2 linked regions of the Anolis sagrei genome follow. The protein of the gene in region 2 purifies or fractionates together with the protein of the main gene of each other region. This does not show direct contact. Links are inferred from orthologs where the notes say so. Each region holds a gene or a part of one and is shown on either strand. Other genes may lie near its edges.

Region 1 (7,582 bases), on a different chromosome or scaffold from region 2:
CATCATAAAATGCAAAATAAATTCTACTGAAACTCACTAAAGATAAAAATATATATAAAAAAAAACATTTCATTGCAGCTCCATCAGTAGAGGTTAAACAAAACCAATGGCCAGGGCTTTGTAGGTCATAACCAATGGCCAATGGTTTAGGGTTTTGTAGGTCATAACCTGCACCTTGAATTGGAATGTACACATACGTATCATATACATCCTTCCAGATATTGTTAGACTTCAGCTACCCAATGCATATTCATCTACTGAAACCAGTAGATCCAAAATATCTGAAAGACCAAAGATTATACAGTCTCTTGTTTACCAAACTCTGAGGCTTTTCCCCCTAATGCATGAGTAGTAAAATGTGTGATCATTATATGTCTTGGCCTTAACTCTCATGGCTCCCTAGCCATGCTCGGGGAAGCTACTGGTGTCCAAACAACTTGAACTTATCCCTGGCCAAGCATGTCAAAAGGCCTTAAGAAGTATACAGTTCTGACTTTGGCCAATATAGTTGCCAATAGCCCCTGTTCGCACTCACCTTCGGGATCGGACATGGTAGCTGTCTTCCCTGCGATGTCGGCGCTCGCTGCTGCTTGACCGAGAGCGGCTCCGCCTCCGCTTGTGCTTGCGGCTTCTGTAACGTTCGTAGTAGCTTCCCCGGCTGCTGCGTTCCGACGAGCGGAACCTTCTGGAATGAGGCATCTGCAAATATGGAGACGAGTCTAAGTTCACAGGCATACACTTTCAAACTCAAAGTGGCCATTATTTTTTTTATTTATTTACGGCATTTATGTGCCTCCCTTCTCACCCCGAAGGGGACTCAGAGCGGCTTACAAGATATGTTTTCATACAATATATTATATTATTAGCATAGTACAATATCAGTATTAGATATTACTATATTGCACTATACCAGTGGTCCTCAACCTTCCTAATGCCGCGACCCCTTAATAGAATTACTCATGTCGTGGTGATCCCCAACCATAACATTATTTTCATTGCTATTTCATAACTGTCATTTTGCTACTGCTTTGAATTGTAATGTAAATATCAGATATGCAGGATGTATTTTCATTCGCTGGACTAAATTTGGCACAAATATCCGATACTCCCAAATTTGAATACTGGTGGATTTTTGGGGTGTTGATTTTGTCATTTGGGAGTTGTAGTTGCTGGGATTTGTAGTTCACCTACAATCAAAGAGTATTCTGAACTCCACCAACAATGGAATTGAACCAAACTTGGCACACAGAAGTCCCATGACCAATGGAAAATACTGGAAGGGGGACAACGGCCACTAGAATTGTCTTTGCGAAATTCTGGAAGCAGAAAGAATTACCAGACAAACTCCACTGGATAAAGAAGCTGAAGGAAATTAAGGACATGGATACATCAACTTTTTTATTAAAAAAGAATACAGGTAATCCACCCAAACAGACAGATTGGTCAATAATTGACTACCATATCGAAACTAGATATAAGAACTCATAATTGTGCTGAAGATATAATGAAGAGATAAATTGGAACATATATAAGATATGAACTAAAAGAAGTGACTATACGGGCAGAATTGGAAGGAAGTCCAATTTTTGTTTTTGTGATTTTTTCTCTTTTTTCTTTTCTCTTTGATTTTCGGTTTTGGGATTTGTGTGACTTTGTTAGTTTAGTCTTATGGTTCCTAAAATTTCCTACTTTTCTATCCTCTTGAATTATTCCCCCTCTTTTGCTGTATTTTAGAAAACTCAATAAAATATTATTTTTTAAAAAAAAGAAAATACTGGAAGGGTTTGCTGGGCATCGACCTTGAGTTTTGGAGTTGTAGTTCACCTACATCCAGAGAGCACTGTGGACTCAAAAAATGATGGATCTGGACCAAACTTGACACAAAAATTCCATATGCCCAAAGGTGAACACTGGTGGAGTTTGGGTAAAATAGACCTTGACTTTTGAGAGTTCCCCCAGGCACTGCCAGGCCATCAAATGCTAATCAAGGTGGTCAGTTGAAACATTCACTCCTAGCTCCAGCAGACAAGAGTCCTTTGTCCCGCCCTGGTCATTCCACAGATATATAAACCCGTTTTCCTACTTCCAACAGACCTCACTACCTCTGAGGATGCTTGCCATAGATGCAGGCGAAATGTCAGGAGAAAATGCCTCTAGAACATGGCCATACAACCCATTACAATAATGCATTAATTGGTTACCTGCCTTTCCTAAGGGTTCAACAAGTCTCTATACTGACCACATAACGCAGATTCAAACAATATTATATGGCAGTGTAGATGGGGCCTACATCTGTCTTCCAAAAGGCCTGGTTAGGTTACTCATCTCCATTTGCAAGTGTATTTTCCCTGATTTTCCATAGTGCTCTCTGGATGTAGGTGAACTACAACTCCAAAATTCAAGGCCAATGCCAAACCCTTTTCTGTTGGTCATGGGTATTTTGTGTGGAAAGTATGTCCCAATTCTCTCTCTGGTGGAGTTCAGACTGCTCTTTGATTGTAGGTGAACTATAAATCCCAGCAACCCTAACCCCAAAATCTACCCCCCCCCCCCCAATCCAACCAGTATTCAAATGTGGGCGTATCGGGCATGTGTGTCAAATTTGGTCCAGTGAATGAAAATACATTCTGCGTATGAGATGTTTACACTATGATTCATTACAGTAGCAAAATTATAGTTATGAAGTAGCAATGTAAATAATGTTATGGTTGGGCATCACCTCAATATGAGGAACTGTATCAAGGGGTCACAGCATTAAGAAGGTTGAGAACCACTGACATAAGGTATGGGACAATTTCAACAGAAAGGAGGAAACCACGAAAATGAGCAAAATCTGGCTGCCAGTATGAAAAAACTCTAAAATTACAACAGCTAAACAACAGAGAGGAAACAATCTGGGACAGCTAATCACCTCTCAACAAAAGATTCCCCCAGGCACTGCCAAGCCATCAAATGCTAATCAAGGTGCTCAGTTGAAACATTCACACTTAGCTCCAACAGACAAGAGTCCTTTGTCCCACCCTGGTCATTCCACAGATATATAAACCCATTTTCCTAGTTCCAACAGACCTCACTACCTCTGAGGATGCTTGCCATAGATGCAGGCGAAACGTCAGGAGAAAATGCCTCTAGAACATGGCCATATAGCCCGAAAAAACCTACAACGACCCATTATAATAATGCATTAATTGGTTCCCTGCCTTTCCTAACCATATAACTGACCATATAACGCAGATTCAAACAATATTATATGGCAGTGTAGATGGGGCCTACACCTCCTGTCTTCCAAAAGGCCTGGTTAGGTTACTCATCTCCATTTGCAAGTTAATTTCCCCAGATTAGATCTCTACTATAGTTCTTTTGCACCCAAGCACAGAGGAGACTACCACTTAGATGCCACCAATGAAAAGAAGCCAAGAGGCATGGGAAGGGGGGGATGGGCCCAACTCCAGGGGGTCCCCTCTTCTCCGCCGCGCATGCGCACTCCCGCACCCTCTTGGCCGCCAGCCCTGTCCGCTTGTCCCACAAGAAGTCCGTCTTGGCGGCGGCTGCAGTGGCGGCCACGGCGGCCACGTCTCCTCCGCTCCTCTCCGGCCTCCTCCTCCGCCACCGTAGCCTTTCTTTTGCTCCCCCTCCTCAAACCCAGAGACGGCTGCTCTGAAGGAGCGGGTGGGGGGGAATGGAAGGACAAAGCGCATGCGCAGCAAACGCTCACGTACGGGGCGAACGACGCCACGTAGGGGCCGGCGTAAGAATGCGCCGTGACGTCACGGGAGAAGGCGGAGCGAGCGGTGAAGATAGGAGGGTATTGGGCTTGTGGACATAGAGCGATGCAAAGCTGACTAAACGCCTGTCCGAACTTGCGGGACTATTTCTAACTTTCTCTCAAAGGCTACATATTCTGCAGCTTCAAATATGTTAAGCCAGACATGGACTGCAACTACAAAATACCTGGAGAGCTAGAGTTTGCCCATGTCTATGTCAGGCATATATTTTATTTATTTACTTACTTACTTTATTTATATACAATAGCAAAATTCAGTGCTCAACTTCATAAAAATACCAGGAAAACCAACACTCTGATTAAAAACTCCTCAATAAACATACGACAACAGCTATGTAAATCGGAAGCCCATCCACCCAGGCTTTATGGACTCCCAAAAATCCATAAGGACTCCACCCCACTCAGACCCATCGTGAGTGCCATTGGATCCCCCACATACGACCTAGCAAAATTTCTTGCGGCACAGTTACAAAGCCATATTGGGCTCACTACACACTACATCAAGGACTCAGCCCACTTCATAGAAAGAAAAAAAATCAGCAATCTCAAGCTAAATACCAAGGACAAACTGATCAGCTTCGACGTGGTATCTCTATTCACCATGGTCCCGGTAGCAGACACCATGGCACTCATCAACCAGAGGTTCCCAGAAGACATCACGGCTCTGTTTCACCATTGCCTCACCACCAGTTACTTTCAGTGGGACAATGAATTCTACGAACAGAAAGATGGAGTAGCTATGGGGAGCCCTCTCAGCCCGGTCATAGCTAACTTCTACATGGAACACTTTGAAAAACAAGCCCTGGAGACAGCAACCAAAAAGCCCACGATATGGTTCAGATATGTGGATGACACCTTCACCATTTGGAGCCATGGAGGAGAAGAACTCAACAGGTTCCTGGACCATCTTAACAGCATCCATCCTAACATCCAGTTCACCATGGAAAAGGAAAATGAAGGAAGACTGCCTTTTCTAGATGTCCTAGTTATCCGCAAACCAGATCAACAATTGGGTCACACCGTCTACAGAAAACCCACACACACAGATAGATATCTAGATAAAAACTCCAACCATCACCCAAGTCAAAAAAGAAGCACCATTATTTATTATTTATTTATTTATTTGATGCATTTGTTAACCGCCATTCTCAGCCCTTTAGGGCGACTCATGGCGGTGTACAACACATATAAAAAGGCAATTTACAAAAAGGCAATTACAACAACATCTTAACAATATAACAATTACAAAGTTACACTAAATAATCCGCTTCGTCTCATAGTAGAATCATAACCAATCTCATATTCCTTGTTCCATTCCAGTCATCTTTACCACATTGTTATAGCACTTAATTAAATGCCTTCTCGAACAGCCAGGTCTTAAGGCTTTTTCGGAAGGACATAAGGGAGGGCGCCTGTCTGATGCCTGCAGGGAGAGTGTTCCACAGCCGGGGGGCCACCACCGAGAAGGCCCTCTCTCTCGTCCCCGCCAGACGTGCCTGTGAGGCAGGCGGGATAGAGAGAAGGGCCTCCCCAGACGATCTCAAGGTCCTCGTGGGCTCGTAGGCCAAGATGGGTCCGAAAGGTATTTTGGGCCGGAGCCGTTTAGGGCTTTGTAGGCCAAAACCAGCACCTTAAATTGGGTCCGGTAGCAAATCGGCAGCCAGTGGAGCTTCATTAAAGCCTTGGCAGACCGTGCAAAAAGAATCTGCGAAGCCCACCTTCTCCTCCAAGATGAACTGAACCACCTCAACTGGGCTCTCCAGGCCAATGGAGACTCCACCTCAGACATCAGAAGAGCTGCAAGACAACTGAGAAGAAGCCACAAGAGTCAAGACGAAGATCCACCCAGAGGAAAAGTGTTCCTGCCATACATCAAGGGAACCACTGACCGCATAGGGAAGCTGATGAGGAAACACAACATACAAACAATCTACAAACCCACCAAGAAAATCCAACAAATGCTACGTTCAGCAAAGGACAAGAGGGATCCTCTCACCTCTGCAGGAGTCTACCGTACACCATGCAGCTGTGGACAAGTCTACAGAGGGACCACCAAACGCAGCATTGCCCAGACACGAATCAAGGAACGTGAAAGGCATGACAGACTACTTCAACCAGAGAAGTCAGCCATAGCAGAGCACCTGATGAACCAGCCTGGACACAGCATATTATTTGAGAACACAGAAATGCTGGACCACACCAACAACCACCATGTCAGACTACACAGAGAAGCCATTGAAATCCACAAGCATGTGGACAATTTCAACAGAAAGGAAGAGACCATGAAAATGAACAAAATCTGGCTACCAGTATTAAAAAAAACTCTAAAATTACAACAGCAAAACAACAGAGAGGAAACAACCAGGCACAGATTAACACCTCCCAGCAAGAGATTTTCCCAGGCTCAGGCAGGCCTTCAAATGCTAATGAAGGTAATCAGCTGAAACATTCACACTTAACTGCAGCAGGGAAGAGCTCCTTGCCCCACCCCGGCCATTCCACAGATATATAAACCCATTGTCCTAATTCCAACAGACCTCACTACCTCTGAGGATGCTTGCCATAGATGCAGGCGAAACGTCAGGAGAAATGCCTCTAGAACATGGCTCTATAGCCCGAAAAAACCCACAAGAACCTAGTGATTCCAGCCATGAAAGCCTTCGACAATTCATAAAAATAGTTTAAAAACACTTTAAAAAATGACATAATAAACAATCAATTAAACATAACTATAACATCTCATTAGCGTCTCATAGGTAGAATCAAGATCCAATCTCATAATCCATTGTTCCATATTCCTATATTCAATACACTATTCAAATGCCTGCTTGAATAACCAGGTCTTCACTTTCCTCCGAAATGCTAATAGGGAGGGGGGCCAATCTAATTTCTGTAGGAAGGGTGTTCCACAGCTGAGGGGCCACCACTGAGAAGGCCCTGTCTCTCATACTTGTGACGCAGGCAGGACCGAGAGCAGGGCCTCCCCAGATGATCATAACACCCTAGCTGGTTCATAGGAGGGGATGCGTTCGGACAGGTAAGTTGTATTTTAGATTATTTTTAATGTTAATGTTTATCTTTTCTTGATATTTTTATGCCTTCAGATACCCAAGAATAGGTAAAGGTAAAGGTTTTCTTTGACAGTGTGGATCATAATAAATTGTAGAAAGTTCTTGGTGGTATACAGCCTCCTTAGTAGCAGGTGGGAAGGAGTGATAGAGTTGAACATCATTTGCATACAGGTGACATTACACCCCAAAACAAAACAAAATGTATCCAAATTGTCTGGTGATTATGTGGAAAAGTGAATAGTGGTAGTTAAAGAGCACATTCTCAGGATTATTTTTGAGTTTGATTTATTAAAATATTCCCATCCAAACTCAGGTAACAAAGGGTTGTTGTAGGTTTTTTCGGGCTAACAAAGCTGGAGGCATTACTTTTCATTCAACCCTCATCTTTATTTACTGGTGTGATCATTTCATTTCCATCCTACTTTTCTCCCCAAATGAAATTCGAGGCAGCTTTGGACCATGTTCCCACCACCATTTCCATCCTTGAGATGGGGTCTACACTGTTAAATAAATATACTTATTTTCCATACTTTTGGGGGTAAGTCCTTCGAGAACTATTCACCAAGAGGGCCAGCAGATGGAGCTTGCCTCCCAATATTATGACAGTCTTTCAAATGAGTTCTTTCTTATGGCGGCTCTTAGAGACATTGGTGACTACTCTCATCTTCAGAAAACTTGTACATCATTGGCAGAAATGTATCCAATTGTCTGGTGATTATGTGGAAAA
Region 2 (8,344 bases):
ATTATAAGCTATTAAAGGGGCATACATCAGGGAAACTGCAAATAATAATAAGAAAAATTATCAAGAATTATAAGTTCCTTCCCTGGTGGTGGAAGCTCCTTCCTTGGGAACTTTTAAACAGAGGCTGGATGTCCATCTGTGAGGGATGCTTTGATTGGATGACCCATGTCATGGCAGGGGGTTGGATTAGATGACCCATGTGGTCTCTTCCAACTCTATGATTTTAAGGGAGCATACATTGGGGAAACTGCAAATAAGAAGGATGAAGGATGTGTATAAGGTACCTGTCATGCTCTATGGCAGGCCTGGGCAAACTTTGGCCCTCCGGGTGTTTTGGACTTCAACTCCCACAATTCAATTCAAAGTCCAAAACACCCGGAGGGCCAAAGTTTGCCCAGGCCTGCTTTATGGAATTTGGGACTTCTGGAATTTGGGAAGTCCCCAAAGGCTCCTTTGGCATCATCTCTGTTTTGATATTAAGGCCTCCTCCCCCCCCCCCCCCCTCCGGCAATGGGGAAATTTGACAGACAGAGAAGATGTATCTATACTGCAGAAGTAATGCAGTCTGACACCACTATACTGGCCATGGGTCAGTGCTATGGGATCACAGGATCTGTATCTGAGTGAGGCGAGGCCTAGGATTCTTTGGGAGTGGAGGGAGGCCTAAAGACACCTATATCTGGATTGTAGCCTTGAGCCAAGGCAGTGAAAGCGGTGTAGCCAGGCCGAAGGGAGATGGGTCTCATGCGGGACTGACTCACCCCGTCTCCCTGCTCGGCGGCGCGGTAGAGGCCCGCCACCATCTCGTTGTGGAGCAGCAGGAAGAGGGCCTCGTCCGCCATCTCCGCCTTGTTCATGCCGGGCCTCCCTGGGAGACGCAAGGCCCGCTCCTCCGCCGCGACGCTTCCTCCCCGCCTTCCTTCTCCTCCTCCAAGCCCAGCGCCTCCCGAAGGCCCGGCAGGAGGAGGAGGAGCTGCTAAGCAGGCCTGGGCCAACTTGGGCCCTCCCTCCAAGGGTTTTGGACTTCAGTTCCCACCATTCCTAACAGCCTCAGGCCCTTTCCTTTTTCCCCTCAGAAGCGGCCTGAGGCTGTTGGGAATGGTGGGAATTGAAGTCCAAAAACCCTGGAGGGAGGGCCCAAGTTTGCCCAGGCCCTCAGAAGAGGCCTGAGGTTGTTGGGAATGGTGGGAATTGAAGTCCAAAAACCCCAGGCCCTCAGAGGGGGCCTGAGGCTTTTGGGAATGGTGGAAATTGGAGTCCAAAACCCTGGAGTCCAAGTTTGCCCAGGCCCTCAGAAGGAGCCTGAGGCTGTTGGGAATTATGGGAATTGAAGTCCAAAAACCCTGGAGGGAGGGCCCAAGTTTGCCCAGGCCCTCAGAAGGGGCCTGAGGTTGTTGGGAATGGTGGGAATTGAAGTCCAAAACCTCCAGGCCTTCAGAAGGGGCCTGAGGCTGTTGGGAATGGTGGGAATTGAAGTCCAAAAACCCCAGGCCCTCAGAGGGGTGCTGAGGCTTTTGGGAATGGTGGGAATTGGAGTCCAAAACCCTGGAGGGAGGGCCCAAGTTTGCCCAGGCCCTCAAAAGGGGCCTGAGGCTGTTGGGAATGGTGGGAATTGAAGTCCAAAAACCCTGGAGGGAGGGCCCTAGTTTGCCCAGGCCTGGTCTACACTGTAGAATGAATGCAGCCTGACCACTCTGACTGCCACAGCTCATGCCTCCATAGTCAAGAAGACTATGGCCTTCCCTCCAGCTGTTTTGGACTTCAACTCCCACCATTCCTAACAGCCTCTGGGCCTTTCCTTTTTTTCTCCTCAGTCACTTGGAAAAGGAAAAGGCCTGGTGTTATTAGGAATGGTGGGAGTTGAAGTCCAAAACCTCTGGAAGGCTGAAGTTTGTTTTGCATCCAGTCCATGGGCTTTAGTTTGGGGACCCCTGGTATAGACATTTAGGGTGATCAATACAAATTACAATCCACAGTCTTATTGCTTCAAAAGTATATAAATGGTTGCAAGGTTTACAGTTTGCGATTGGTATATAGTATGGCGGGAAACTTGATAAACCTTTTAATTTGAGGAATTCTGGAGCTGGTCTTCTGTAAACACGCCAGCCACCCCCTTCTGCCTGAAGGAGCTCATCAGCCTGGAAAGGGATTATTTTGGGGAAACAATGTTTGCTGATTGGTATCAGCTGGCAGAGGGGAAGGTTTTCTTGATTGAACAATACATGGATTGTTATTCCAAAATGATGGGTTTGACTTTCTCGGAGTGGGATAGGAGCACGCCCTGCACTTACCTACATAATCCTTACATAATCTTTGGCTTCAGCTTTCTGTGAGTTGATCAGGTGGTGGGAAAATAAGGGGGTTTGTCAATGTTGCCCAGCTAAGAGTCTTTTTCTGGCTTCGGAAGCTCAGCGGAGTAACTACAGGTCATTTCTGAACCTCAACATTTTTAGGAGCCCCAGCTTCAGACAACAACATCAACTACATAATTTCCATAAATCTACCAATTTGAAATCTGTTGCAGCAAATAAATAAAAAACTTGCACCACCACAAATCAGTAGAGTAAGTTTTATTGAGTCAGAGTCCTACTAGGTTAACTCTAGGGAAATACACAACTATCCGATAATCAGATGTATTTATCGTGTCAGAAGCAAATTGAGAATACACAAAGTTTAAAAAAAACAAAGTTTAAAACTTAGCATTATGCTAGATTTCCTTTGACCAGAAGCTGGCCACTTCAAGTGCCTCAAGTGTGAAAAGGTTGTGCATTTAATATGCATTTAAAAATACAAAGTTAAAAAAACCCTTGGCATTATGCTAAATGTCCTTTGACCAGAAGCTGGCCATTGGAGTGCCTCTAATGTCGCTGTGAGAAGGTCCTCCATTGTGCATGTGGCAGTACTCAGACTGCATTGTAGTAAGTGGTCTGTGGTTTGCTCTTCTCCACACTCCCATGTTGTGGACTCCACCCTGTAGCAACATTTCTTAAGGTTGGTGTTGCATCTCATGATGCCGAAGTGCAGTCTTTTCAGCGCCTTCCAAGTCGCCCAGTCTTCTGTGTGCCCAGGAGGGAGTTTCTCATCTGGTATCAACCACTGATTGATGTCCCGTGTTTTAGCCTGGTACTTTTGGACTCCGCTTGCTGAGGTGTTCCTGCAAATATCTCTGTAGATCTTTGAAAGCTGTTTCTTGATTTAAGACATTGGCATGCTGGCTGATATCCAAACAGAGGATGGGCCTGAGATGCCAATGCCTTGTTCCTTTTATTACTGGCTGTTACTTCCCCGGGGGGGGGGGGGGGGCGGGGGGGGGGAGGTTGAGAAGGGCAGGGTACAAATATCTGAAATAAATAAATATCAGGTGATGCAATACCGGCTAAACAGTATAATTCTCCAGCAGTGTTGGGCATAGACTTCCTGTGATAATGTGGCATGTCTCATTAAGACATCTACTGCTTGAACATGGTGAGATGTATTCCATACTGGACATGCGTATTCAGCAGCAGAGTAGCAAAGCGCAAGGACAGATGTCTTCACTGTATCTGGTTATGATCCCTAGGTTGATAATTAGATTAGAGACTGTCAGTACACAGTATATGGCATGACTGAATGCTGGAAGAGCAGCAGTGTATGAGTTTAAGACACAATTACTTGCAAAATCAGATTCTTATCTGGTGATCGTTTATTTAGGATTAGGCAAAAAGGCCCACAACTTCCATGATTCCCTAGCTTTGAGTTATAGCAGCCAAAATAGTGTCAAACCGCATTAATTCTACAGTGTATATACATCTCTGAAGTCACCGATTGATTTACAGTCTATGTAGTAGCTATTTTGTGCTACAGCTATTTGTATTAGGTAAAAAAAAGGTAAAGGTTTTCCCCTGACATTAAGTCCAGTCGTGTCTGACTCTGGAGTTGGTGCTCATCTCCCATTTCTAAGTCGAAGAGCCGGCATTGTCCGTAGACACCTCCAAGGTCATGTGGCCTGCATGATTGCATGGAGCACCATTACCTTCCCTATTAATCTATTCACATTTGCATGTTTTCAAACTGCTAGGTTGACAGAAGCTGGGGCGGACAGCGGAAGCTCACACCGCTCCTCGAATTCGAACCTGTAACCTTAGGTAGTTACCTCATACACATTTCAGCATTTTATAAGAGTGACTCATCTATAGTCAATTTGTCATGTTGATCCCACATTGATTTTTTTATTTCTTCTATAGTTTTGAGATAAAAGATATTGGGATAATATTTAGAAAATGTCACAATAAAATTTACTCAAAAACAAGGTACCAAATAGGAAATTGGGAGGCATATCTCAAATCGCGTAAATGATTCAGAATATATTTTGATTAAACCAATTATGTGTTGTGTTGTAGTTCTATGGAAAAGGTTTGGGAACCACTGACCCTGAGCACCTGGTATTTATTGGTGGTCTCCCATTCAGACACTAACTAGGGCTGACCCTGCTTAACCTCAATCTCCAAGATCAACCAAGATATGGTGCAATTAGGGTAATCAGTCAGTAAAAGAACAGAGATTACTGGGATTAAATATATTGTTTGATTTTATTGTGTCTTATGCTCTTAAATTCACTGGTTAGCCTCCACATTCCTTTCTCAGAAATGCCTTAGCCCCGCCCCTTGCACTCAAGAACGCCTCCTAACCCACAGAGGCGCGAAAATAGTAGGGCGGGGAATATAATACAGAGAGAGAACCTACCTCCAAGCACGGATTGGCCATATGGTTGTGCCGCTTGCCATTCGGTTGGCTGCTTATTGTGTCATTCAACTCTGGTACTTAGCGATTGGCAGAAGGAACCCAACAGGATTCTTTCTAAGTGGCTGAAAGCGACGTCACTCCACCAACGTGAACCGTTGAGTGGCAGAAACGGGAAACTTGATTGGTGCACCGAGCTGCCGCTCAATCTCAGAGGCGGGCGACTCGTGAGAGATTCCGAGTACCGATTGGACAAACGTGATGTCGTTTTAATGTGCTGGTTCCCGATTGGTGGATTCTTTGAGGGAGCCACGTTACACGTGTAGGCGGGGTAACTTCCCCCTCTGCTCCCCAGCTCTTCGCTTACCCGACCGCGCTTTCTGCTGGGCCCAGGCAGGGTAGGCCGCGCCTGTCCTGGTACTAGGAGTAGTAGTATCAGGCGAGATGGCGGTGGCCGTGCGGGCCCTGCAGGAGCAGCTCGAGAAGGCCAAGGAGAGCCTCAAGCACGTCGACGAGAACATCCGCAAGCTCACGGGGCGGGACCCCAACGATGCGAGGTGAGGGAACCAGCCCAAGGGTGCTTTTTCAGGGCCCTTCCACACAGCCAGAAACAGCAAGGCAGGAAATCCCGCATTATCTGAGTGTGGACTCGGATAACCCAGTTCAAAGCAGATATTGTGGGATTTTCTGCCTTGATATTCTGGGATATAGGGCTGTGTGGAAGGGCCCTCAGTAAGGAACTGCCATATAATCCAGATTAACCACTTTAAACCGGATTATGTGAATCTACACTGCGGTTCGGTTCAGCTGCATTCACAAACTATTATATGGCAGTGTAGATGATGATACTGGGAAATAGGGCTGTGTGGAAAGGCCCTCAGTGAGGAACTTCCATATAATCCAGATTAATCACTTTAAACCGGATTATGTGAATCTACACTGCGGTTTCTGTGTTCGGCTCAGCTGCATTCAGAAACTACTATATGGCAGTGTAGATAATAATAATAATAATAATAATAATAATAATCTTTATTTATACCCCGCCACTATCTCCCCAAGGGACTCAGGGCGGCTTACATGAGGCCAGGCCCGACAATACAATGCATCCGTATAAACCAATACAGCAATAAAATAAAACTACAATACAAAACCATAATAAATAACATATCAGCAATAAAACACAGCACTTAAAAACACAAAAATCCTACACTGAGGGCAGGGCCTATTCTAATAGATTTAAAATTTAAAACACTGGGCGTGGCAGCAATAAAATAAGTCTGAATAGAGGTTTTAGAGCAGGGTTCCTCAAACTAAGGCCCGGGGGCCGGATACGGCCCTCCAAGGTCATTTACCCGGCCCTTGCACAGGGTCAACCTAAGTCTGAAATGACTACAACAACAACAATCCTATCTCATCAGGCAAAAGCAGGCCCACACTTCCCATTAAAATACTAATAAGCTTATATTTGTTAAAATTGTTCTTCATTTTGATGATTGTATTGTTTTTAAGTGTTTTTTGCACTACAAATAGGATATGTCCTTCTCAGTGCCTTCTCAGTGGTGGCCCCTCATCTGGAATTCACTCCCCGGGGAAATTAGATCAGCGACATCCCTCCTTTAGAAAGAAATTAAAAACATGGACGTGGGACCAGGCGTTTGGGCACTCTGGCAGATAAATAAAGGACTGTGATGACGGATAGGAATAGACAATGTGGAACGAAGTATGGACTCTGAGTTGGTGAACGCTGTGCTTGAGATTGGCTATTGATTGTGATATATATAGTTGTTTTAATTGTTTAACTGCTTAACTGCTGTTTTTATACATTTATTGTATTATTGTGTAGGCATCGAATTGTGCCATTTTGTAAGCCGCCCTGAGTCTCCCTCGGGGGTTGAGAAGGGCGGGGTAGAAGTATACGAAATAAATAAATATGTGCGGTGTGCATAGGAATTCATTCGTTTTTTTTCAAATTATAATCCGGCCCTCCAACAGTTTGAAAGACTGTGACCTGGCCCTCTGTTTAAAAAGTTTGAGGGCCCCTGTTTTAGAGGGTGAGGTAGGATTGATTGCCCAACAGGTAGAATAAAGTGCTTCAGAGGACCTTTTGCAGGGAATTGGTCAGATCAGGGAATTATTGCTCTTTCATTCAGGGAAGGCACATTGGAACAACCAAGTTTTCAAGCTCCTCCTAAAGACTGCCAATATGGGGGCTTGCCTAATATCCTTAGGGAGCGAATTTCAGTGTCGAGGGGTCACCACTGAAAAGGCCCTCTCCCTCGTCCCCACCAGTCGCACCTGCGAAGGGGGCAGGAGCGAGAGAAGGGCCTCTCTGGACAATCAAAGAGATTGCATGAGTTTGTGAATGGAAATGCAGGTAGGCAGGTCCCAAACTGTCCAGGGCTTTGTAGATAAGGACCTGCACTTTGAATTGAGACCGGAAAATGAACGGCAGCCAGTGGAGCTCTTTAAATAGGAGGGTTGACCACTCCCTGTAATTTGCTCCAGTTACCAATCTGGCTGCTGCCCGTTGGACCAAATGAAATTTCCAGGCCGTCTTCAAGGGCAGCCCCACGTAGAGCGCATTGCAATAATCCAATCAGGAGGTGAGTTAAGGCCAGATCTGACTTCACGAGGTACGGTCGCAGCTGGCGCACAAGCTTCAATTGTGCAAAGGGGCCCGATTCTTCTTTATAACAAGGAAGCAGGGTACTACTTACTACTAATGTAACAATTGTATATATACGATAATAATTATATTGTGTGTGTTGGTTTATATATAATGTAATACCAATTATATGTGTGTCTTTACCTATTTGTATATCATAGTAATTTTATGTGTGTATGTTTGTGTTCCTTTTTCAGGCCTGCTCAGGGTAGGCTCTTGACCATCACAGGCCCAGGTGGAGGTAGAGGGCGTGGAAGTATACTGCTGAGGTAAGAGTCTATGGAAGTATTGTCCTCCGGTGCATCTGCGCCAGGCATGGGCAAACTTGGGCCCTCCAGGTGTTTTGGTCTTCAACTCACACAATTCCTAACAGCCTCAGGCCCCTTCCTTTCTTTCCTTTCTGCTCAAGCAGCTGAGGGAAAAAGGAAAGGGTCTGAGGCTGTTAGGAACTGTGGGAGTTGAAGTCCAAAACACCTGGAGGGCCCAAGTTTGCCAAGGCCTGATTTACACTTGATTCTATGGCGTAGATGCTTCCTAATTTAAGTGAACCTTAACGCAGACTTTGCTTGGAAATAAGTATTTGGAGAGGGTTTGCCTTCCTCTGAGGCTGAGTGTGTGACTTGCCCGATGCCATACAGTCTCCCAGAGCTCTAGGGTGCATCTGCAGTGTAGAATTAATGCATTTTGATGCCACTTAATGGCACAGTGTTATGGGATTGTGGAAGTTGTAGTTGCACAAGCAACTTTTAGGTGCCGTTTGCAACTGTTTCCACAATGTGAGTAGTGCATTGCTGCACAGGACTGACAAATTTATTTATTTACTTCATTTATATATAAATACAAATTGGGGGGGGGGGAGTGGACTAAAAGCAGTTTCCAACATATTTATGGCAAAATGTAATGCCTCACATACATATGTAACCTAAGATAAAATAATAACATATCACTATCAATTAAATT

What was found. Proteins that work in one complex are often made in the same cells at the same time.
Region 1: the proteins of PNN (region 2) and CLK2 purify together in Homo sapiens (affinity purification with mass spectrometry; 3 studies listed by BioGRID and IntAct, counting the BioPlex papers as one, with this or other methods). This does not show direct contact. The link is inferred for Anolis sagrei from reciprocal best matches to the Homo sapiens genes PNN and CLK2.

The regions. Positions count from the first base shown.
Region 1 is NC_090032.1:7,779,801-7,787,382, forward strand, and holds the start of CLK2 (dual specificity protein kinase CLK2), read right to left. Parts: upstream 3,589-7,582; 5' UTR 3,493-3,588; intron 700-3,492; coding exon 536-699; intron 1-535. UniProt on the Homo sapiens protein: Dual specificity kinase acting on both serine/threonine and tyrosine-containing substrates. Phosphorylates serine- and arginine-rich (SR) proteins of the spliceosomal complex.
Region 2 is NC_090021.1:303,574,296-303,582,639, forward strand, and holds the start of PNN (pinin), read left to right. Parts: upstream 1-5,038; 5' UTR 5,039-5,163; coding exon 5,164-5,276; intron 5,277-7,581; coding exon 7,582-7,653; intron 7,654-8,344. Other genes in the region: TRAPPC6B (trafficking protein particle complex subunit 6B), read right to left, coding at 762-857. UniProt on the Homo sapiens protein: Transcriptional activator binding to the E-box 1 core sequence of the E-cadherin promoter gene; the core-binding sequence is 5'CAGGTG-3'. Capable of reversing CTBP1-mediated transcription repression.